Linked DNA regions of Saccharomyces cerevisiae S288C. Changing the gene in region 2 together with the main gene of any one other region gives a genetic interaction. Each region holds a gene or a part of one and is shown on either strand. Other genes may lie near its edges.

What was found. Genes that interact genetically often act in the same process or in processes that back each other up.
Region 1: mutations in LSC1 (region 2) and OAR1 together harm fitness more than expected from each alone (negative genetic interaction), as found in Saccharomyces cerevisiae (4 studies listed by BioGRID).
Region 3: mutations in LSC1 (region 2) and ACH1 together harm fitness more than expected from each alone (negative genetic interaction), as found in Saccharomyces cerevisiae (3 studies listed by BioGRID).

The regions. Positions count from the first base shown.
Region 1 is NC_001143.9:332,347-339,978, reverse strand, and holds OAR1 (3-oxoacyl-[acyl-carrier-protein] reductase (NADPH)), read left to right. Parts: upstream 1-3,821; coding exon 3,822-4,658; downstream 4,659-7,632. Other genes in the region: ASK1 (Ask1p), read left to right, coding at 1-311; MDM35 (Mdm35p), read left to right, coding at 537-797; DNA damage-responsive RNA polymerase-degradation factor DEF1, read left to right, coding at 1,226-3,442; TMA19 (Tma19p), read left to right, coding at 5,064-5,567; NUP120 (Nup120p), read left to right, coding at 6,010-7,632. UniProt on the Saccharomyces cerevisiae protein: Involved in biosynthesis of fatty acids in mitochondria.
Region 2 is NC_001147.6:591,173-598,876, reverse strand, and holds LSC1 (succinate--CoA ligase (GDP-forming) subunit alpha), read right to left. Parts: upstream 5,821-7,704; coding exon 4,831-5,820; downstream 1-4,830. Other genes in the region: YOR142W-A (gag protein), read right to left, coding at 2,443-3,765; ARP8 (Arp8p), read left to right, coding at 6,290-7,704. UniProt on the Saccharomyces cerevisiae protein: Succinyl-CoA synthetase functions in the citric acid cycle (TCA), coupling the hydrolysis of succinyl-CoA to the synthesis of ATP and thus represents the only step of substrate-level phosphorylation in the TCA.
Region 3 is NC_001134.8:190,437-198,676, reverse strand, and holds ACH1 (acetyl-CoA hydrolase), read right to left. Parts: upstream 4,556-8,240; coding exon 2,975-4,555; downstream 1-2,974. Other genes in the region: mitogen-activated serine/threonine-protein kinase FUS3, read right to left, coding at 5,165-6,226; PEP1 (type I sorting receptor), read left to right, coding at 7,094-8,240. UniProt on the Saccharomyces cerevisiae protein: Presumably involved in regulating the intracellular acetyl-CoA pool for fatty acid and cholesterol synthesis and fatty acid oxidation. It may be involved in overall regulation of acetylation during melatonin synthesis.

The DNA.
Region 1 (7,632 bases), on a different chromosome or scaffold from region 2:
TACAGAGACAAAGCCGCAAAAGAAAGATTTCGCTACTTTTGCAGCAGCAGTACGGGTCTAGTTCCAGCATGGTACCGTCTCCGATTGTGCCCAATAAAATGCGGAAGCAACTGGCTCATGAAGAACATATTAATAACGACGGCGATAACGACGATGAGAACAGCAATAATATAGAGAGCTCGCCTCTGAAGCAGGGGCACCACCACCCGAAGGGACAAGCGGATGATAACAACGAAGGGCCCGATGAAGAAGAGAGTACGAAAGAAGTACCAAAGCCTGGGACCATCATTCATTTTTCTACGAATAGATAGAATAAATAAGTACATACAATTTTTACTAGTGATGAATATCAGAACGCAGGGTAATGGGCCCGCTATATTTTTTCTTCGATATAGGGAGAGCCACATTCAGAATATTCAGAGTATTTGCATGTAGAAATTTATTCTAAGTGCGCCAGATATATGCCGGGAGAGGTCATTAGAAAACATCTGTTTGTGTTTTAACTTGAATTACAATAACAATAATACCAGTTTTATATGGGGAATATAATGTCAGCTAGTTTTGCGCCTGAATGCACTGACCTGAAGACGAAATACGATAGTTGTTTTAATGAATGGTATAGCGAAAAATTCCTGAAGGGAAAATCCGTTGAGAACGAGTGCTCAAAACAATGGTACGCTTATACTACATGTGTCAACGCAGCTCTCGTCAAACAAGGTATTAAGCCTGCTCTAGACGAAGCTAGGGAGGAGGCGCCGTTTGAAAATGGCGGCAAACTAAAAGAAGTTGACAAATGAAGTATATATTTTAGCACAGAATGTGCATTATTCAACATGTAAATACTAATACTGCAATATCGACTTATAATAATGTATAGTGATCCGTATATTAATAGATCTGTTTCAATTCTTTACCTTTTTAGGATATCCGTCACCCGTGATTCCGTCGGAGGTGAGCACTCGCCCAAATAAATAACGGGAAATGGTGGCAAAAAGTAGTGGCGGGAAAAGGAAAAATTTTCGTTCTCTCCCATATAAACGTTTCATTCCTTTTCCTAAGTCTTTTACAGTAATTTCAGAAACATTCGTATTTTATATTTGATCTTTTGAAGCTACAAGAAAAACTCTTACCAATTACCCCAAAAAAATCACCATCATAAAGTACTTACATATTTATTTTTGTTTGGTCGTTTTCTCAATATAATCTACATCATCATATATATATAATGTCTACACAATTTAGGAAGTCTAATCATAATAGTCATAGTAGTAAAAAACTAAATCCTGCGCTAAAGTCCAAAATAGATACGCTTACAGAATTGTTCCCTGACTGGACGAGTGATGATTTAATTGATATAGTTCAAGAATATGATGATTTGGAAACTATAATTGATAAAATTACTTCCGGCGCAGTGACAAGATGGGATGAAGTAAAGAAACCTGCTAAGAAGGAAAAATATGAAAAAAAGGAGCAACAACACTCATATGTCCCTCAACAACATTTGCCAAATCCAGAAGATGATATTACATATAAGAGTTCTAATAATAGCAATTCTTTTACTTCTACAAAGCATAACAGTAGTAACAATTATACTCAAGCCAGAAATAAGAAGAAGGTACAAACACCACGAGCTCATACAACCGGGAAACATGTTAATCTCGACAAGGGGAAGCACGTACCATCCAAGCCTGTTTCAAACACTACATCGTGGGCAGCAGCTGTTTCTGTAGATACTAAACATGACGTTCCTCAAGATTCAAATGATAACAATAATGAAGAATTAGAAGCACAAGGGCAACAAGCGCAGGAGAAAAATCAAGAAAAAGAGCAAGAAGAGCAACAACAGCAGGAAGGGCATAATAACAAAGAAGAACACAAACAAATAGAGCAACCTTCTTTATCTTCAAAGAAAACAACTTCTAGGACATCTGCTTCACAACCAAAGAAAATGTCGTGGGCTGCAATTGCTACACCAAAGCCAAAGGCTGTTAAAAAGACCGAGTCTCCTCTTGAAAACGTTGCTGAATTGAAGAAAGAAATAAGCGATATTAAGAAGGATGACCAAAAGTCTGAAGCTAGTGAAGAAAAAGTTAATGAACAAGAAACATCTGCACAAGAACAAGAGGAGGAGACTGCTGAACCTTCTGAAGAAAATGAAGACAGAGTCCCTGAAGTGGACGGAGAAGAAGTCCAAGAAGAAGCTGAAAAAAAGGAACAAGTAAAAGAAGAGGAACAGACAGCGGAAGAGCTGGAACAAGAACAAGATAATGTTGCTGCTCCAGAAGAAGAAGTTACAGTTGTTGAAGAAAAGGTTGAAATTAGTGCTGTTATTTCAGAGCCTCCAGAAGATCAAGCTAATACTGTACCTCAACCACAACAACAATCCCAACAACCACAGCAACCACAGCAACCACAGCAACCACAGCAACCACAGCAACCACAGCAACAACAACAACCACAGCAACCACAACAACCACAACAACAACTACAACAGCAACAGCAACAGCAACAACAACCAGTACAAGCTCAAGCTCAAGCCCAAGAAGAACAATTATCTCAAAACTACTATACTCAACAACAGCAGCAACAATACGCTCAACAACAGCATCAGTTACAGCAACAGTATTTGTCCCAACAACAACAATATGCTCAGCAACAGCAACAGCATCCACAACCTCAATCACAACAACCTCAATCACAGCAAAGTCCACAAAGTCAAAAACAAGGGAACAACGTGGCTGCCCAACAGTACTACATGTATCAAAACCAATTTCCTGGATATTCTTATCCAGGTATGTTTGATTCACAAGGATACGCTTACGGTCAACAATATCAGCAACTTGCTCAAAACAACGCTCAAACTAGTGGTAATGCTAACCAATATAATTTCCAACAAGGTTATGGTCAAGCAGGCGCGAACACTGCTGCTGCTAATTTGACTAGTGCTGCCGCTGCTGCTGCCGCTTCTCCAGCTACAGCTCACGCCCAACCTCAACAACAACAGCCATACGGTGGCTCATTCATGCCATACTACGCCCACTTTTACCAACAGTCATTCCCATATGGTCAACCTCAATACGGTGTAGCTGGTCAATATCCATACCAGTTACCAAAGAACAATTACAACTATTACCAAACTCAAAACGGTCAGGAACAGCAAAGTCCAAATCAAGGTGTTGCCCAGCATTCTGAAGACTCTCAACAGAAGCAATCACAACAGCAACAGCAACAGCAACCTCAAGGTCAACCCCAACCTGAAGTTCAAATGCAAAATGGCCAACCTGTTAACCCACAACAACAAATGCAGTTCCAACAATACTATCAATTCCAACAACAACAGCAACAAGCTGCTGCCGCTGCCGCTGCTGCTGCCCAACAAGGTGTACCATATGGCTACAACGGTTATGATTACAATTCTAAAAATTCAAGAGGTTTCTACTAATAAGGGAGAAGTAGAACCTCCCACATAAAAAACGAAATGGGGAATAAAATACAATGAATTTAAATACACATTTTATTACCACTATTATGTTTTACTTTCTTCAATGTTTGGGCAAGGATTCCATATCCTTTTGATGATGTCATATATCATTTAAATTTTGCATATATATATATACGTACGTAAATAATAAAAGGTATATATATGTTGTGTTATCTATCTAGCTAGCTGTGTCTTTATTTTGCGGGGTTTTGGAAATGCCACTTTTTCTGTTTTATATATCACAGCGTCAAAATTTCCGCCGTTACTGTTTGCAACTGATGAGAACTATGGAATACACATGAGTACATTGGTATAGACGTGGGAGAAGAAAAGTCTGGAAATGCATTATTTGCCTGTTGCGATAGTAACAGGTGCCACTAGGGGTATAGGCAAGGCAATATGTCAAAAGTTATTTCAAAAGGGTTTAAGTTGCATTATACTTGGGTCTACTAAAGAAAGTATAGAGCGCACCGCGATAGATAGAGGCCAATTACAATCGGGATTATCATATCAGCGGCAATGTGCTATAGCAATTGATTTTAAGAAATGGCCTCACTGGCTTGACTATGAGTCATATGACGGTATCGAATATTTCAAAGATAGACCGCCCTTGAAACAGAAATATTCCACATTGTTCGACCCATGTAACAAATGGTCAAATAATGAACGCCGCTACTACGTAAACTTATTGATTAACTGCGCAGGCTTGACTCAAGAATCATTAAGTGTAAGAACCACTGCATCTCAAATTCAGGACATAATGAATGTTAACTTTATGAGCCCTGTGACGATGACAAACATCTGTATTAAGTATATGATGAAGTCGCAAAGGAGATGGCCGGAACTCAGTGGTCAATCTGCTCGACCCACCATCGTAAATATTTCCTCCATTCTACACTCCGGAAAAATGAAGGTTCCAGGTACATCTGTTTACTCCGCCTCTAAAGCCGCACTGTCCAGATTTACAGAAGTTTTAGCTGCAGAAATGGAACCAAGAAACATTAGGTGTTTTACGATATCTCCAGGTTTAGTCAAAGGGACCGATATGATCCAAAATTTGCCAGTGGAGGCTAAAGAAATGCTGGAGAGAACCATTGGGGCAAGCGGTACAAGCGCACCCGCTGAAATAGCGGAAGAAGTCTGGTCTCTATACAGTAGAACTGCTTTGGAGACGTAAAAGAAAATCGAAACAAATAATAGATTTGTGTCTGTTCAATGTGTATATCGATGAGCTCAGTGAACACATTTTCACATCACGTTTCTTTTTTTTCTTTTTTCCGCTAAGAAAAATTTTCCAGAATTTTTCAGAGGCAAAACAAAACTCATCGATTTCGCACGCATTTCTCGTAGAATTGATATTTTTTTATTTTTTTATTGGTTTTTTTTTTTTTTTTCACTTTTTTTTCTTCCTTTCATGATATTTATAAGGAGAAGTATTTCAATTGGGACTTAAAAAAAAATTTTATTTTGGTTAATGTTTTCATTCAATGGTTTACTACTTTCATTTTAGCTTTTTAACAATTTTCTTTCTGGGGTCTCAGTTGCGGTTAGCAGATTAACACAGAACATACTATAGACAAATATGATTATTTACAAGGATATCTTCTCTAACGACGAATTGTTGTCTGATGCTTACGACGCTAAGTTAGTTGATGACGTTATCTACGAAGCCGACTGTGCTATGGTCAATGTCGGAGGTGACAACATCGATATCGGTGCTAACCCATCTGCTGAAGGTGGTGACGATGATGTTGAAGAAGGTGCTGAAATGGTCAACAACGTTGTCCACTCTTTCCGTCTACAACAAACCGCTTTTGACAAGAAGTCCTTCTTGACCTACATTAAGGGTTACATGAAGGCTGTTAAAGCTAAGTTGCAAGAAACTAACCCAGAAGAAGTTCCTAAATTCGAAAAGGGTGCTCAAACTTACGTCAAGAAGGTTATTGGTTCTTTCAAGGACTGGGAGTTCTTCACTGGTGAATCCATGGACCCAGATGCCATGGTTGTCATGTTGAACTACCGTGAAGATGGTACCACTCCATTTGTTGCCATCTGGAAGCACGGTATTGTGGAAGAAAAGATCTAAGTCTAGCGAAATTAGAAAAATTTTCGTATTTTGTATTTGAATTTGAGAGTAGGACTCCCCTTTCTCATTTTTAATGTATATGTAACCTCTCTCTCTTTTTTCTCTGCATCAACTTTTTAGCTTCTATTCTTTGATTCTATAGGTATCTAAACTTCCTAATTACTTCTTAACACGCATTAGGACGTTTTTAATTATTCTATGATTTTATTAAGACACGTTTATCAATTGCCGTAGATATGTATAGTTCATCAATATTTTCTTTTCCATTACCCTACAGAACTTTCATGTTTTTTGTTTTCCTGTCTTTTTCTCCAATTACGTGAAAAAAAAATTGAATTGAAATAGCATGAGAAGCTGAGAAACAAGTAGAAATTGACGAAATCCAACGTTCATAAGCATTTTTCAAGAGGTCGCAATTTCACTCGTACACAACTGACCTATTATGGCATGCCTCTCAAGAATTGATGCAAATTTGCTCCAATATTATGAAAAACCTGAACCCAATAATACGGTTGATTTATACGTCAGTAATAACAGTAATAATAACGGGCTGAAAGAAGGAGATAAGTCCATCTCTACACCAGTTCCTCAGCCTTACGGAAGTGAATATTCCAATTGTTTGTTATTGAGTAACTCTGAGTATATCTGTTACCATTTTTCCTCAAGATCAACATTGTTGACATTTTATCCTTTGAGTGACGCATACCATGGGAAGACAATTAATATACACTTACCAAATGCTTCTATGAATCAGAGATACACTTTAACGATACAAGAAGTGGAACAGCAATTACTGGTTAATGTTATCTTAAAAGATGGTTCGTTTTTAACGTTACAACTACCCCTAAGTTTCCTATTTTCATCGGCCAACACTCTCAATGGAGAGTGGTTTCATCTCCAAAATCCCTACGACTTTACAGTTAGAGTTCCTCATTTCCTTTTCTATGTATCACCCCAGTTCTCAGTTGTTTTTTTGGAAGATGGCGGTTTGTTGGGTTTAAAAAAAGTTGACGGCGTACATTACGAGCCTTTACTATTCAATGATAATTCATACTTGAAAAGCCTAACGCGATTTTTTTCTAGGAGTTCTAAATCGGATTACGATAGTGTGATTAGTTGTAAATTATTCCATGAAAGATACTTAATTGTGTTGACTCAGAATTGCCACTTGAAAATTTGGGATTTAACTTCATTTACTTTAATACAAGATTATGATATGGTTTCACAGTCAGATTCAGACCCAAGCCATTTTAGAAAAGTGGAAGCTGTAGGGGAATACCTTTCCTTGTATAACAATACTCTAGTTACATTGTTGCCTTTGGAAAATGGGCTTTTTCAAATGGGCACCTTGTTGGTTGATTCAAGCGGTATTTTGACTTATACTTTTCAAAATAACATCCCCACTAATCTTTCAGCTTCTGCTATTTGGTCAATTGTAGATTTAGTTCTAACGAGACCATTGGAGTTGAATGTCGAGGCTAGTTATTTAAATTTGATCGTTTTATGGAAAAGTGGCACTGCTAGCAAGTTACAGATACTAAACGTAAATGATGAAAGTTTCAAAAACTATGAATGGATAGAATCAGTTAACAAATCCTTAGTAGATTTGCAATCCGAACATGATTTGGATATCGTTACAAAGACTGGAGATGTTGAGAGGGGTTTCTGTAATTTGAAATCAAGATATGGTACCCAAATTTTTGAACGTGCACAGCAAATATTGAGTGAAAATAAGATTATTATGGCTCATAACGAAGATGAAGAATATTTGGCTAATTTAGAAACAATATTGAGAGACGTAAAAACCGCATTCAACGAGGCTTCTTCTATAACACTTTATGGCGATGAAATTATTCTCGTCAATTGTTTCCAACCGTATAATCATTCCCTTTACAAGCTGAATACTACTGTGGAGAATTGGTTTTATAATATGCACTCTGAAACTGATGGTTCTGAATTGTTCAAGTATTTAAGGACATTGAATGGTTTTGCTTCTACTTTGTCAAATGATGTTCTTAGATCCATTTCTAAGAAGTTTCTTGATATAATAACAGGAGAGCTGCCT
Region 2 (7,704 bases):
TGGTATGCCTCGATATATTTTTCTTTTTCTTTAATATCTTTATTATAGGTGATTGCCTCATCGTATCGTAAGGTTGTTCGTATTGGTTTGATTGATTTTACTGCTTTTACAGCTGCAATCAGGTGAATTCGTTTCTTCGATCTCGGAGGTTCTAAACTACGCATATTCTTAGTATTCCATGTGTCTCGTGATACCTTAATTTCAGTTTCATTATCTTCTAATGATCTTTTCTTACTGTTGATAGTAGTATAGGCATTAGAGTCACCAATACCACCCAAACTGGAATTAGTTTGACGAGAATTTATCGGTGGGAGTTCTTTAAATGGGTCAGGGAATTCGGTAGGAGATTCTGGAGGTAGATCAGGGAGTGGGAGATCAGCGATGATAGATTCCTCGGTATTCTGTTCAGAAACAGTAGTTGGCGTTTTGATAGGAACAATATTGTGCGATGAATTATTTTCCGGTGGAGAAGCATCGATTGAAGGTGAACGGTGTATAATCCTTTTCTCAGTCTCTTGGTCACTTATCTGCGGAACAGTTTTGTTGTTGGTACCACCCGTACTGGATATTGGTACGTTTGTATGATTAGTCTCATTTTCACTGTACGAGTCTGAGTGTCTGAAATCTTTAGATTTACTGGCGTGCGACGACTCATGTGTGTTAGATTGGGACATGGGAGCAAGTAAAGGAACATTTAATTTATGCATACCACCCGAACCGGTACTCTCGATATTGGAAATTTGGGGGGTGCTAGATCTCTTCTTTGATGGAAGAATATTAGATTCAGATATGTTGGGGTCAACTTCTCTGGGTGCGCGAATATTGGTTTTAGAAACACGTTTCGAATCTTCAGTATGAGTTGACGGAGGTGTGGAATCGGTTGGACTCACAGCTTTTGAAAGGACATTTCTCGGTTGCTCAGGATGTAGTTCAATGTCGGATTGGAAGTCATGGTCAGATTCTATGTTAAGATCATTGGATTCTTGGATCTCATTTGACGCAATGAACGAATGATATGAAGCAGTTAAACGGTTTAAGTCTTCATCGAAAGTGAGTGCGTCGTAATTGAATTGATCTAATCTGGATTCCTTGCCCTGAAGAATAACATAGTTAGTTGTATCTACTGTCTTCTTTAAGGATGGAAGATAGATGATATATCCATAAGAGTTTCGAGACGGATGTAGAGCGTAGCCTGGGATGCCACGAGGATGTATTTTGGAGTTAGGGTTGTGATCATTGACGATAACAGGTTGACCGAAAGGTAACAAAGTACTGATATCAAGTCCTGCCAAGCCAGCATGTTGTCTTGCAGATTTTTTGCTTTTAGGTGAAGCTAGTGAATTTCTCACAATAGTAGAAAATTCGATTGCAGAGAACCATAAATGGTTCGGTAAACCACTACATTGCAGTTGAGTACGGCAGTCATCTAATAAGGTACGGTTCAGCCGTTCAGCGACTCCATGTGCTCGGGAATCCGCTGTGGTTGTATAGCATGGAGTTATACCATTTTTTTCAAGGAATTTATGGAGAGTTCTGTTAGTATACTCAGAACCACGGTCCATTTGTATAACTAAGACACTGGCCTGAAACTGGTTTTTAATAAAAGCTAGTATCGTAGTAAAAACATCGAGGATAGAGTCCTCGCGACGGTCGTGTAATGGATAAACCCAACGGAATTTTGTTGTCTCATCAGTAAATGAGATGAAATAGGATGGTGCACTTTTTGGTAGGTTGTGAACTGGACCAAATATGTCAGTATGTAGGTATTGAAAGGGTTCGTATGAATTTTGGTATTTTAGTCGTGAACCTTTGATATGTCTGTGTTTGGTGCTTTTGCCGATTAAACAATCAGGACATTGATAGTCAATAGCACTAGACCAGTCGACATCTGATTCGTTAAAATACGTGATGGTGTTATTTTTAAGTGAGTATCGAATTGTCTGTGCATTGGCATGCGCAAGCATTCGATGAATGAAAGGATAAGGATATTTGCGTGTACTTTCACTTGTATGGACATTATTGATGGTGGGTACGGAGATATTTGATGGAAGCAAGTACTTTTTAGATACCCAGTAAAAGTCTCCATATTTTACGATAGGTGCAAGTACAGTGCCGTCAGACCGTTCTAAGACGTTTTTGGTAAAGCATGCTGTGATATCTACTGCAGCCAATTCATTCAAACTGAGTAAGTCATAGGCTATGTTAGGAGTGTGCAATACCTTTATTGATGTTTTGGTGTTGTCCTGGAAGTGAAATTGTAGGTCACCAATAGCGTTAATTGGTATATTTCTTTTTTGAGCATCAACTACGTTTATGTCAGGATTAGATGATGCTGAGTGTATGTGATGAGCAGATCTTATAAGGGTTCGTGATGCTCCTGAATCGAGAAGGAGGTGTCCAGGGAGTTCATCATCAGAATGATTAGTATGATTTACTGTAGATTCAGTAAGTTTCTGGCCTAAGATGAAGGTCGTGCTTATTGTTCAATTGAATCGGTTCAGTAGTTGATTTACTGATGGAATCGTTGTCCGTGCTGGGAGAGTTATTAGATGTGGATACATTGTGAGCCCTGGCTGTTTTCGATTTCGAATTATTTGTTTTTTGAGGATTCCGAGCTATAACTTTGGGTTTGGTTGTATTCGTATAGCTGCGAGAATCATTCTTCTCATCACTCGGATTTCTCCTGTAATTAGGTTTGCTGTTTCTCGATCCCTGTTGTTCTTCATAAATAGCATGGATATCTAAGAACAGTTCAGCGACTGTCATATTTAGATGTCGATGACGTGTGTAGCGTAAAAATTTATATTCGCCAGATAGACCTCTCATAATTAATTGACATGCGACCTTGTTATTGATATGAATGCCATTATTGTTCAGTCTGTCGATAATGTTTGTGACTTTTGTTTCAAATGCATCTGCAGGTGTACTGCCATTATATTGCAAATTTGCCAGGGTCACAATGTCGTTTGCCTCTTGGGTATCAGATTGCATTTTTTCAATACTTTTGGAAAGAATTTTCATGATATCCGTATAATCAACGGATAGGATGTCTTTGACCCAGGTAGGTAGGAATTGAGAGGGAGCAAATATTTGAAAAGTGTTATACAAGAAGGTGAGTTCATCATCAGTGATCGGACGTACGGGTTTTCCGTTTACTGTCGGAATAATACCACCGAGATTCGAGTTTTGTAAAAATTTGATGTATGTTTTAACCCAATTTGGAAAGTCATTAGGTGAGGTTAACATTGGTGGTGGTCTGACATATTTTTTAGTGGATGTCATATCAGAGTCCGCTGAGGATGAATCAGTAAATGTATTACCTGACTCAGGTGATGGAGTGCTCAGAGGCGTTCCAACTGATGATGGATACTGCGGAAACTGTGATTGTGGCCCAGGTGGAAAGTACATAGGCGACATTTGATAAGGTGTATACGGAATCATAGATGGGTGTCCGTAAAATGACCAACCAGATGGATTGGCTTGGTTTTGGGTCATCATGCACTGCTGTGGGTACGGCCCATTCTGTGGAGGTGGTACTGAAGCAGGTTGAGGAGAGGCATGATGGGGGTTCTCTGGAACAGCTGATGAAGCAGGTGTTGTTGTCTGTTGAGAGTTAGCCTTAGTGGAAGCCTTATCATATTCTTGAATTTTGGAAGCTGAAACGTCTAACGGATCTTGATTTGTGTGGACTTCCTTAGAAGTAACCGAAGCACAGGCGCTACCATGAGATATATGTGGGTAATTAGATAATTGTTGGGATTCCATTGTTGATAAAGGCTATAATATTAGGTATACAGAATATACTAGAAGTTCTCCTCGAGGATATAGGAATCCTCAAAATGGAATCTATATTTCTACATACTAATATTACGATTATTCCTCATTCCGTTTTATATGTTTCATTATCCTATTACATTATCAATCCTTGCACTTCAGCTTCCTCTAACTTCGATGACAGCTTCTCATAACTTATGTCATCATCTTAACACCGTATATGATAATATATTGATAATATAACTATTAGTTGATAGACGATAGTGGATTTTTATTCCAACAAATAGTTTGATAATTTTTGGCATTCCTTTTTTTGGCAAAGGTTATATATAATATTATGTGTAGTTCTCCTCGAGGATATAGGAGTCCTCAAAAAGGAATCTATATTTCTACATAATAATACTATGATTATTTCTCCTTCTGTTCTATATGTTTTATTATCCTATTACGTTATCAATCCTTGCATTTCAGCTTCGTCTAACTTCGATGACAGTTTCTCATATCTTATGTCATCGTCTAACACCGTGTATGATAATATATTGGTAGTGTGACTACTAGTTGTTAGACGATAGTTGATTTTAATTCCAACACTTACCTATTTATCAGTGTCATTACTAAGAAGGAAATTTTTCATTAATAGTATATAACGTGCTGAGTCTTCCCAAATTGATTGAAACGCGCAAGTGGTTCAGTGGTTAGAATTTATGCTTCCCAAGCATGAGGCCCGGGTTCGATTCCCGGCTTGCGCATCTGTTTTTGCAAAACAGACTAGGAAATTCAGACGTTTTGTTATTTTTTTTTCCATTTCAATTATTAAGCTTTAATCAACCTTTATGTATACCCTTGTTAAGAAGAACATTAAATACAAACACTATTAAAAGATTTTTAGTAGAATTTATAAGGATAAATGAATATATACAAAGGGAAAAATTAACATAGAATGTTGAGTAAAAGCTCTGAAAAGAAAACGGATGTCAGCTCCATACTTGTCTAAGCAATAATCGAGACATAGAAGTCTTCCTCTTTTGAAAGCAGTTCATTCTCTTCCTAATATAATCATTTAAATTTGGCAAATTGATCCAGTAAAGCTTGACCTAAGTAACCTGGAGATTCAACGACGGCAACACCAACATCTCTCAAAGCTTGTTTTTTGGATTCTGCATCAGTTCCAGATCCTTCTACAATTGCACCGGAGTGACCCATTCTAACACCTTTCATTTGACCAGCAACAGTTCCTGCGATGAAAGATGCCACCGGCATCGGCTTACTCCTGCTAAAGTTGTATTCTTTGAGAAATTGAGCAGCTTCGATTTCGGCCTTACCACCTATTTCACCTAACATAATAATACCTTCTGTAGTTTCATCTTCTAGAAATAATTTCAAGGCGTCAATAAAATCAGTACCGGGAAAAGCATCACCACCCATACCAATAACCAGTGATTGACCAAGGTCAGTTTTTGTAGTTTGCTGAACAGCTTCGTATGTCAAAGTTCCCGATCTGGAAATAATACCGATTTTACCAGCTTGAAAAATTTTTGGGGGCTGGATACCAATTCTTACCTTTGTTGCTGGGTTAATGATACCAGGGCAGTTGGGCCCAACTAATCTTGTTTTATCTTGTGTCTGCAACATTTCTGCAATGTATAACATGTCATGTTGAGGAATACCTTCAGTGATACATACAGCTAACGGAATTTCAGCTTCAATAGATTCTTTAATGGCAGCAGCTGCGATCGGTGGAGGAACAAAGATGGCACTGGCAGTGGCTCCAGTCTCCTTAATCGCGTCCTTCACAGAGGCAAAGACAGGTTGGCCTAAATGTGTTTGACCCGCCTTTTTTGGGTTCGTACCACCCACAACATTTGTACCATATTCTTGAGAGATGCTGGCATGAAAAGTACCTTGTTTACCTGTGAACCCCTGAAAGATCACCTTGGTGTCCTTGGGAAGCAGCAAATTTTTGATCGTCTTATCGTAAGGAATAGATTCTCTGTGAAAGTGACGACAAATTTTGAGAGAAGCTTTTGAAACGGTAGATCTTAACATTATCAAACTGAAGAATAAATGGTCTGCAAAAGAAATTTTCTATGAAATCGAACGTATATAGAGTGGTAAGTAACAAACAGAACAACAATTAGGGGAAACTTGTCTCCTTCCAGCTTTTATATCGCTTGATTAAATCCAACTGTGGTAAGCCTATATATACGCAGTGTGCTGTGAACAACTCTCGAACAAGGATACTTAATTGACAATTGCAAAGCACTTAAGGGCTCTATTACCATCTGGATATCAGTCTCGAGAAACGCCTTTTTTGTTTCTGTTTTTATAGCAGCAACTTTGGGTCCGAGGTTGGGGTAGATCCGTTATCCAGCCGCTGGTTGGGCCGTGCAAGATGACTTATTTGAGAATGGCAATATGAATAAATGGAGATGATGAACGCCCACGAAGTAGCAAACACTTTCAGGTAAATTACTAGTCAATAGTACATAAATACAGGGATACAATCGCACCTAACATGTCGCAAGAAGAAGCAGAATCCAGTATTATTTATGAGGAACCCATTGATATTCCGTTAGAGGATGATGACGATGAGGATGAACTGGAAGAAGAAAATAGCGTACCTTTAAGCAGCCAGGCGGATCAAGAAAATGCGGAGAATGAGTCAGACGATAGTGTCGATAACGTAGTTGGATCTGAGACACCCAGAAGTGTAACAGGTCTTTCTGTTGACCCAAGAGACGTTGCAGACGAAGAAGATGAAGATGAAGAAGGGGAAGACGAAGATGAAGACGAAGACGACAATGATGTTGACAATGAGGACGAAAATGATAATGATAATGCCAACGAAAATGAAAATGAATTAGGGAGCTCTAGAGATAAGAGGGCACCACCTGCTGTGCAGACTAGTAAACGTTATAAGAAATATCCGAAGCTAGATCCCGCAAAAGCACCTCCCGGGAAGAAAGTCCCGCTACATCTTTTGGAGAAGAGGAGACTAGGACGTATTAAAGCTGCTGAAGAATTTGCCAAGACGTTGAAAAAAATTGGCATTGAGAAAGTGGAGACAACTACTTTACCTGCCACTGGCCTGTTCCAACCTTTAATGTTAATCAACCAAAAAAACTACTCATCAGATTATCTGAAAAAAGACGATCAAATATTTGCACTTAGAGATAGAAAATTTTTGAGAAATAACAACACTAGCCAAATATCTAGTACCAACACACCAGATGTTATAGATTTAAAGAGTTTGCCCCACTCAGAAGCGAGTGCAGCACCACTTAATGACGAGATAGATCTAAATGATCCAACAGCAACTATCGTGATACATCCTGGATCAAATTCTATAAAGATAGGATTTCCCAAAGATGACCATCCTGTCGTAGTTCCAAATTGTGTAGCGGTACCTAAAAAATGGCTGGATCTTGAAAATAGTGAACATGTTGAAAACGTTTGCCTTCAAAGAGAACAGTCAGAAGAGTTTAACAACATAAAGTCGGAGATGGAAAAGAATTTTAGAGAACGTATGAGGTATTATAAAAGAAAGGTACCAGGTAATGCTCACGAACAGGTAGTATCTTTCAATGAAAATTCCAAACCTGAGATTATTTCAGAGAAAAATGATCCATCTCCTATAGAATGGATATTTGATGACTCAAAATTATACTATGGTTCAGATGCATTGAGGTGCGTGGACGAAAAATTTGTTATTAGAAAGCCTTTCAGAGGTGGCTCTTTTAATGTCAAGTCACCATATTATAAATCGTTGGCAGAATTAATCTCAGACGTTACCAAGCTTTTGGAGCATGCACTTAACTCAGAGACTTTAAACGTTAAGCCTACCAAATTTAATCAGTACAAGGTCGTGTTGGTGATACCAGACATATTCAAGAAAAGTCACGTAGAGACGTTCATTAGAGTTCTACTCAC
Region 3 (8,240 bases), on a different chromosome or scaffold from region 2:
GACAGAAATCTCCAGTAAATTTTATGTGGCCTACACAAGGGTAATCCTGCATAGATTTAATTAAAGTGGCGGTTAAGTCCCGGTTGAATGGACTTCTCAGACTTATCCTTATTTTAATAATGATACAAGATTAAATATGGAATGTTCCACTGCTAATCTAACATTAACTAGAATGCTGTATGTACCAGAATGATTTTTTTTAGTATGTCTTTGTTTACTTATTTAATCTCGGCTTACCTTTTTTTTTATGCACTAATTTAATGATTAGGCAAGCTTATTGTTAAACAAGAAAAAACTTCAAAGTACATTGAAAAAAAAAGGAAATGTAATCAATTCCCCTCAAAATAAATTTTCTTACAAACCCATGATAGTTTGGAATAAGAAACATCATCTATTGACTAATATCCATCTTACTAGTCAACAGATGTGTTGGAATGAAAGTCTATAATATCATCTGTTTAGTTGTATTCGTGTTACTAGTTTATTATCACGTGCGGTGTAAGAAGATGATATTAGGATTTCATTCCAATGGTTTGCAATTACCCTTTTAAGTAGCCATTGATATTTTGTGGCATTTGTTATCTTTCAACACATGTTATTATAAACTACTTACCAAAAAAAGTGTTGTATTACGGGCTCGAGTAATATCGGAGTGTCTTGACAATCCTAATATGAACAGTCTTAGGGAAGTAACCAGTTGTCAAAACGGTTTATCAGATTAATTCACGGAATGTTACTTATCTTATATATTATATAAAATATGAATCATACTAAGTGGTGGAAGCGCGGAATCTCGGATCTAAACTAATTGTTCAGGCATTTATACTTTTGGGTAGTTCAGCTAGGGAAGGCCGGGTTTTATCTCATGTTGTTCGTTTTGTTATAAGGTTGTTTCATATGTGTTTTATGAACGTTCAGGATGACGTATTGTCATACTGACGTATCTCATTTTGAGATACAACACTTCCAAGAAATAAGCGCAAGTGGTTTAGTGGTAAAATCCAACGTTGCCATCGTTGGGCCCCCGGTTCGATTCCGGGCTTGCGCAATTCTTTTTGATTTTTATTTTTATATAAAAAATAAACGACGTTATTTGAATTGCAAAAAAATGGTCTCTAGCGGGATCGAACCGCTGATCCCCGCGTTATTAGCACGGTGCCTTAACCAACTGGGCCAAGAGACCTTGATTACTGGTTAACGTGCTTGAAGAAGAAAAACATCAGGGACAGATGAAAACCTTCATTTACTTAGCATGCATTTTTTTAATCTCCTTTTTCGTTGTAGATATTGTTGAATAAGGATCAATTATATGATATTGATTAGTAGCAACAGTTTTACCATTTTTTAGACAGAATCTGTTGAAGGAATAATCAACGATCATCTATCGATTAGTATCATACACAGTGTAAGAATGACATGGAGTTGAGAAACAGTCATCAAAAGTAATGAAAGCTGAGATGTGATAATTGCTGATTCAATAGGATAATAAACGACTACATGTAAAGCCAAAGAAAAAATAGTATTATCATATAAAATTGCCGGTTCTCTTGTGGAAGTCTTACATCCTTGAGAAGAACTTAGGGTATAATTTACACACCTATATTATTGTCTTTTACGTAAACAGGATCTAAAAAATAATCTTAAAATATGTCTATTTCCCAAATATTAATGAAGTATACAGTAAAATATACGTACATTCACAGAAAAAAAAATGCCTCCATACTATGGAAAAACAGCGTATTGCTCAGTGATTGTAATAACAAAATTTTTGACCTTGAACCAACTTGTCAATAACGATTATTAGAGTTATCAGAACGAGCAAATACGAGCGATGTAAGGATAAATGGTAAAAATGGATACATGGCGTAGCTAGGGATGGCGATGATGAAAAATAAAACAACTAAAAGATGTAAAGCAAATATGAAGTTTATGCTGCCCATGACTGTATTGTGAATTTGTTTGCTGTTGAGATTGTTGTCGTTATTTTCATGCCATTCATTTTATTATGGTCCTAATATTATACACGCTGCTATATATAAGTTACGTATCATAGCGGCACAATCTGTTGAACATTTCTGGCGGCCTGTTGAACCTTCAAATGGGCGAGCTGTTGAACAGTTTTGGCCAACCTGCACCCAGGGCTATTACATACACAACAATTTGCAGTGTCGACTTATCTATCTGCCCTCTTGCTGTCCACATGTGTTGAGTGTCATGTGTAGATTTTTACTTTTTCTACTTCTGTTATCTTTCCAAACTTTGTCTATTAAACCACTCAATTGAACTAATTTCTTTGATGAGCCGTTTTTTTTTTCTTAGTCCTCTGGATCAAACCAAATTGCTTACCAATCCTTCCACCACTGATAGATAACACACATCCGGTTGTTGTTGATAAGTGTATTATGCTAATCGGCGTCCCTTAAATTCAATGGTGAGAAGAAAAAAGCGATGATCCTTGCCTTCAAGCGCGCGCAAACAATAACCACTTATTAGCTTGAAGCTAAATTGCGGAGAAGGCTGTTCACAAACATGGATTCCAATATTAATTCCATAATAGGAGAAAAAAAATCATTGTAAGGTATACATGCATCATTACAGATAAGTTGGGCGGTTCAGAGCTTGGTTTTGTATTACCCTGGCATTTTTACATTGACCTAAGCAAGAGAACTACCCTGACGTCATCAGCGAAATTCGTTGAAATTAATATAAGGGTTGATGACTTTCAACCTCTTAGTTTTTTTTACTAATCACTACTTAATACATAATTATTGTGTAAACATATAAATATACAGTACTACCTGTGAATTAACTAGACGTCATGCGTATTGATTAACTCCCTCCATGAGCGCAAAAAGTATAAATATGCAAGAAAAAACAACGCATTGGATAAAAGCTTTATAAACATAAAATCATAATCATATCATTTCCTTTCTTTTTTTTGTTAAATACTCATCTCTCGGTTTGCGCACAAACACTAGTCAACTGGTTCCCAGCTGTCGACCTTCATTGTACCCTTTTCAGCTAAGTTGGTGTGGAACTTGAAAGCATTCTTTAGCATGTGTGGTTCATGCAAGCAATTGTGCTTTTTAGCGTAATGCTCTGCTCTGTCCAAGTAATCGGTCAACAAAGCTTGATAATCGGGATGAGCACACTTGTTGATGATTTCACGGGCTCTTTCCTTAGGCGATAGACCTCTTAGATCCGCCAAACCTTGGTCAGTGACCAAGATGTCCAGGTCATGCTCAGTTTGATCTACATGAGAGGCCATAGGAACAATGGTAGAGATACCGGTAGGGTCTACTTTAGTTGGTCTTGCAGAGGGGGCATGCATGATGGACAACTTTGCATTTCTCAAGAAATCAGCAGATCCACCCAACCCGTTCAACATACGGGAACCATTCACATTTGTAGAATTGGCGTGCGCGTAAATGTCAACTTCTACTGGGGTATTCATGGCGATGACACCCAATCTACGGATCATTTCCGGATTGTTCGAGACAACTTGAGATCTCAAACACAATCTGTGTTTGAAATTTTCCCAGTTTGCAAAGGCTCTGTCGAAACCCTTTTCAGTCAATCTCACGGAAGTAGCAGTGGCGTAGTCCAAAGATCCGTTCTCGAAAAGATCCAAGAACGAGTCCTGCAGCACTTCCGTCCATACAGTCAAGTGCTTGAATTGGGCGCCAGCAAGCCCTTCAATGACAGCGTTAGCAATGTTACCTATACCACTTTGTAAAGGCAGCAGGTTTTCAGGTAGCCTACCATGTTTTACCTCGTTTCTGAAAAACTCGACCAAATGACCTGCAATAGCCCTGGACATGTCGTCAGAGGGCGTATTTGGTGGGACCTGGTCCCTCATGGTGGACTCCACAATCGCAACAACCTTTTCAGGATCAACCGGGATGGAGTCAACACCACACTTGTCGTCCACTTTCAGATATGGGTATGGTTTCCTGAAAGGTGGGTTCACGGGCATGTCTATATCGTGAATACCCTCGAACGAAGGCGTAGCCGTGTTAACCTCAATAATCACTTTATCACTGACTGTAATGAATTCTGGAGAACCACCGACAGAGGGACCTGGGACGATAGACCCGTCCTCTTTAATGGCCGTTGCCTCGATTATAGTATAATCAAGGATTTTGTTGTCTTTTCTTTCCCTGGTGTAGAACCCGTATGTCAGATCCTGAGGGAACATGGACAGATGTTTATCAAAGAACTCAATTCTACCCTGGTTAATTGCCTTTGCAATGGGTTTCCCTACTTGATGAGGGGCTCTCTTAATGATCATGTCGTGTTCAGCCCAACGGTTTTCCTCTGGACCAGCAGAAGCTCCAACAAAAAGGTTGAATCTCAACTTCCCTTGTAAATTGTTCTTCTCCACGTGATCTATCAGTGCCTCCGGCACTGCCTTGGGAGTACCCACTCCTGTAAAACCGGACCACCCAAGGTACTGACCATTCTTGAACAATGGAATAAGCTCGTGAGCTTCCTTAACTTTTTTCAGATAGGGAGCATACCTAACTCTCTGCTTTAACAAATTAGAAATTGTCATTTTAGTGCAATATGTGAAAAAGAAAAAAAGAAATGTGTTGTTTGTTTTGCCGCTATTGTCTAGTAAGACGGTCTCTTGCTGCTTTGTGTGCTAATGTAAGCCCGGTGGGCACAAGACAAAAGAAGGGGTAGAACACATCTAACGTCTATATATACACAGCAACTTGATTACACATTTGCTCCAGCAAGCGCTTACCGTCCACAATACAGTGGTCATCCATACAATCACTACTTTGGTAGTTTGACGCTCCGATGGGATTGGCTGTTGCGGATGTGGTTGAGGGCGTTGTCCTCGAGGCCAATCAGCAGCGCGCATTGCCCGCCTTTGGCCCGGCGGGCCGCGCGTCGCAGGGGATGATGCTAGTCACCTATATGGATCACCCCTTGTGGTTCTTCATTTTTTTTTTCTTCAATTAACAGCCGCCGACGGCCCGTGGCGCGCGATCACGGAGTTGCGTAACTGCTCCCCTTAGCTCCATATAAGTATTGTCCTTTTATACGTCCGCGTCCTCAGCGGCTAATACGTATGTCATATGTACATATGTATATGTGTACGTATATGTATATGTATACATTGTTCTTCGGGTTGATATTTTAATGATAATGATGGCTAACTAAATATTTCGTTCCAAATGAGTTTCTTGAGGTCTTTCGTCGTTAGTGCCTCCTTGTAGTGATCAAACTCGAAGAAGCTGGGTGGGATGGGTTCGCCTTCAGGTTCGTCGTTTGGATCGTGGTATGTTTGCAAATACGGATGCTCCAGTGCCTCCTTAGCAGTAATCCTCTTCGCAGGGTCAAAAACAAGCATACGCTGTAAAAGATCTATGCCTTTCGGGTTGACTCGAGGGAACATCTTCTCCAGTGGCGCGGCAGGGTACATGGGAAGCGACTTTATGTACTCTCTAGCCCTGGGTGACTCTATACACCGCAAATCATTATCTGAGTGAGGTGTACCGATGATACCGAATATCAGTAGTAGTTGATGGCGATAATCTCTGCCAGGGAAGATTGGCCGTCTTAAGAAAAGTTCAGCGAGAATACATCCGCAGGACCACACGTCCATGGCCCTTGAGTATTTGGCAGAGGTTAACATCACCTCTGGCGCCCTGTACCAACGTGTGGCCACATACTCGGTCATGCCGCTTTGCTGACCTGTGGGCTCTGAATTGTCCGCGGCTGACTCGTCAATGATTCTTGCTAAACCGAAATCACATACTTTCAAGTCACAGTTGGAGTTTATGAGAAGGTTGGAGGGCTTTAAATCACGATGGATGACGTTCGAACCATGCAGCACTTTCACTGCTCTCAAGGTTTGGTATATAAAATATTGTATATGATCGTCACTCAGCATCTGGGTGGAGATTACACGGTGTAAATCTGTCTGCATTAGCTCTTGAATTATGTAGACCTCATTGAAGTTTTCGAACGAGTCAGGGCGTTGAATGTTGAAGATTGTTATGATATTTTCGTGCTTGAAGTGCTTCAGGATCTTTATTTCACGCAGCGTACGTAATGCGAACAAAGGCTTATCGAATGGTTCGATCTTTTTTATTGCCACGATTTCTCCCGTGGGCTTATGCGTTGCAGAACATACCACACCGTATGCACCCTCTCCCAGTAACGACTTCAACTGGAAGTCACTGGATATATTGTATACAATTCTCTTTGGCATATTATTTTCCTTTCTTTTTCTCTGCCTTATTTCCTTGTAGTTCAAACGAACTAGCTATTAGAAGAAAGAAAATGATTACAACGTATATATAGTTTCTGAGAGGCAAGAGTAAAAAGTTATGATATATTAGTATGTTGCTTTTCTGCAATTGTTTCAATGCCCTGTAAAAAACCGCATCATCTAAAATCTGAGAGAATGCAGAAACAAAAAAAAAAAAAGTAAAAATTTCGAGTAAAAGAATTTTGAGTTCCAGGGTGAAACAGATCTAAAACTCAAGAGCTTATGCATTGCTTGTAGGTACATCACATTTTACTTCAGAAAGATAAAAGAGTATGTGAAAGTAAACTGCCCTCTCCAGTTAACTCTTCCCAAACTAAAAAGTATCCGCCTGTGCGGACTACAAGCACTACCGCCCCTTGAATGAACACCAAAAGATGTGTGTAAGTTAAAAAGTCCGAACGAATTTATCCTTATGTATGTTCTTTTGAACGTCAAGTAGTCAATCTCTCCAACTACTCGGGTCTTTATATGGATCGCGTGATGTTTTAAGCCTTCTTTCCTCTAGTTTAGTGCAGTCGCTGCTTTTTTCTCGGGCTGAGTACGGCGAAAAGAAGGAAAAACCAAGGTCAAAAAATAACCTCTAAATAACAGCATGATGCAACAGCTCAAAAGACCTCTCAAGAAGCACAAAAAAAGGAGGCGAGTAGGTGGTACTATTTCATTCTACTAAGATCTTTAAAGCAATTCCTTTCCGGTTTTTTTCTCAACTACCGTACTCTTTTTCCTTTTTTATTTTGCCCTTAGATTGTATTATAAAGCTCTGTATATCTGGAAAAGCCCTGAAGTGTCCAGTAGTCATCACACGTTATGATATTACTTCATTTTGTCTATTCTCTTTGGGCCTTACTTCTCATTCCTTTAACTAATGCCGAAGAATTCACCCCCAAAGTGACAAAGACTATCGCGCAAGATTCATTTGATATATTAAGCTTTGATGATTCCAACACTTTAATTAGAAAACAAGACACCTCCGTTACTATAAGCTTTGACGATGGTGAAACATGGGAAAAAGTTGAAGGCATTGAAGGCGAAATCACTTGGATATACATCGACCCCTTCAATAGACATGACAGAGCCGTTGCAACGGCAATGAATGGGTCGTACCTTTATATAACCAATGATCAAGGTAAGTCATGGGAGCGTATAACGCTACCTGACTCCGGAGAAAGTATTTCACCTCGTGAATGCTATATAGAAACCCATCCCTTGAATAAGAACTATTTTCTTGCAAAGTGCAACTATTGTGAGAAAACAGAAGTAAACAATGACAATGAAGAGAATTCGGGGGACGAAGAGGGACAATTTGAAATATTTAATATTACACGTTGCACAGACAAGGTTTTTGCAAGTAATGATGGTGGAAAATCCTTTTCTGAGATCAAGTCTTCTCTAGAAAGGAACGAAAATAGTCCTATCAGCATTTCTGATTGTGGCTTTGCCAAGACCAGCAAAGATTCTGACCTTGAAAGTAGTGATACCTCAATAATCTGTCTTTTTCAAAATATGCAGCTTATTATGGATGAGTTTAGTTCTCCTTACACCGAAAGTAAATTGGTCCTAACTACGGACTGGGGCAAATCACTAAAAGAATTTGACCAATTTAAAGATAAGGTCGTCAATGGTTACAGGATATTGAAATCTCACATGGTTGTCTTAACCCAGGGCGACAGATATAATGATATGTCTTCCATGGATGTGTGGGTATCAAATGATCTGTCAAACTTTAAAATGGCTTACATGCCTACTCAGTTAAGGCATTCTATGCAAGGAGAAATATATGAGGACGCTATGGGAAGAATTATCTTGCCCATGAGTAGGGAAAGAAGTGATCAAGAGGAGGATAAGGGCATCGTGTCTGAAATTTTAATTTCCGACTCACAAGGGTTAAAATTTTCCCCCATCCCATGGACCGCAAATGAGGTGTTTGGTTATATTAATTTTTATCAACCTACTT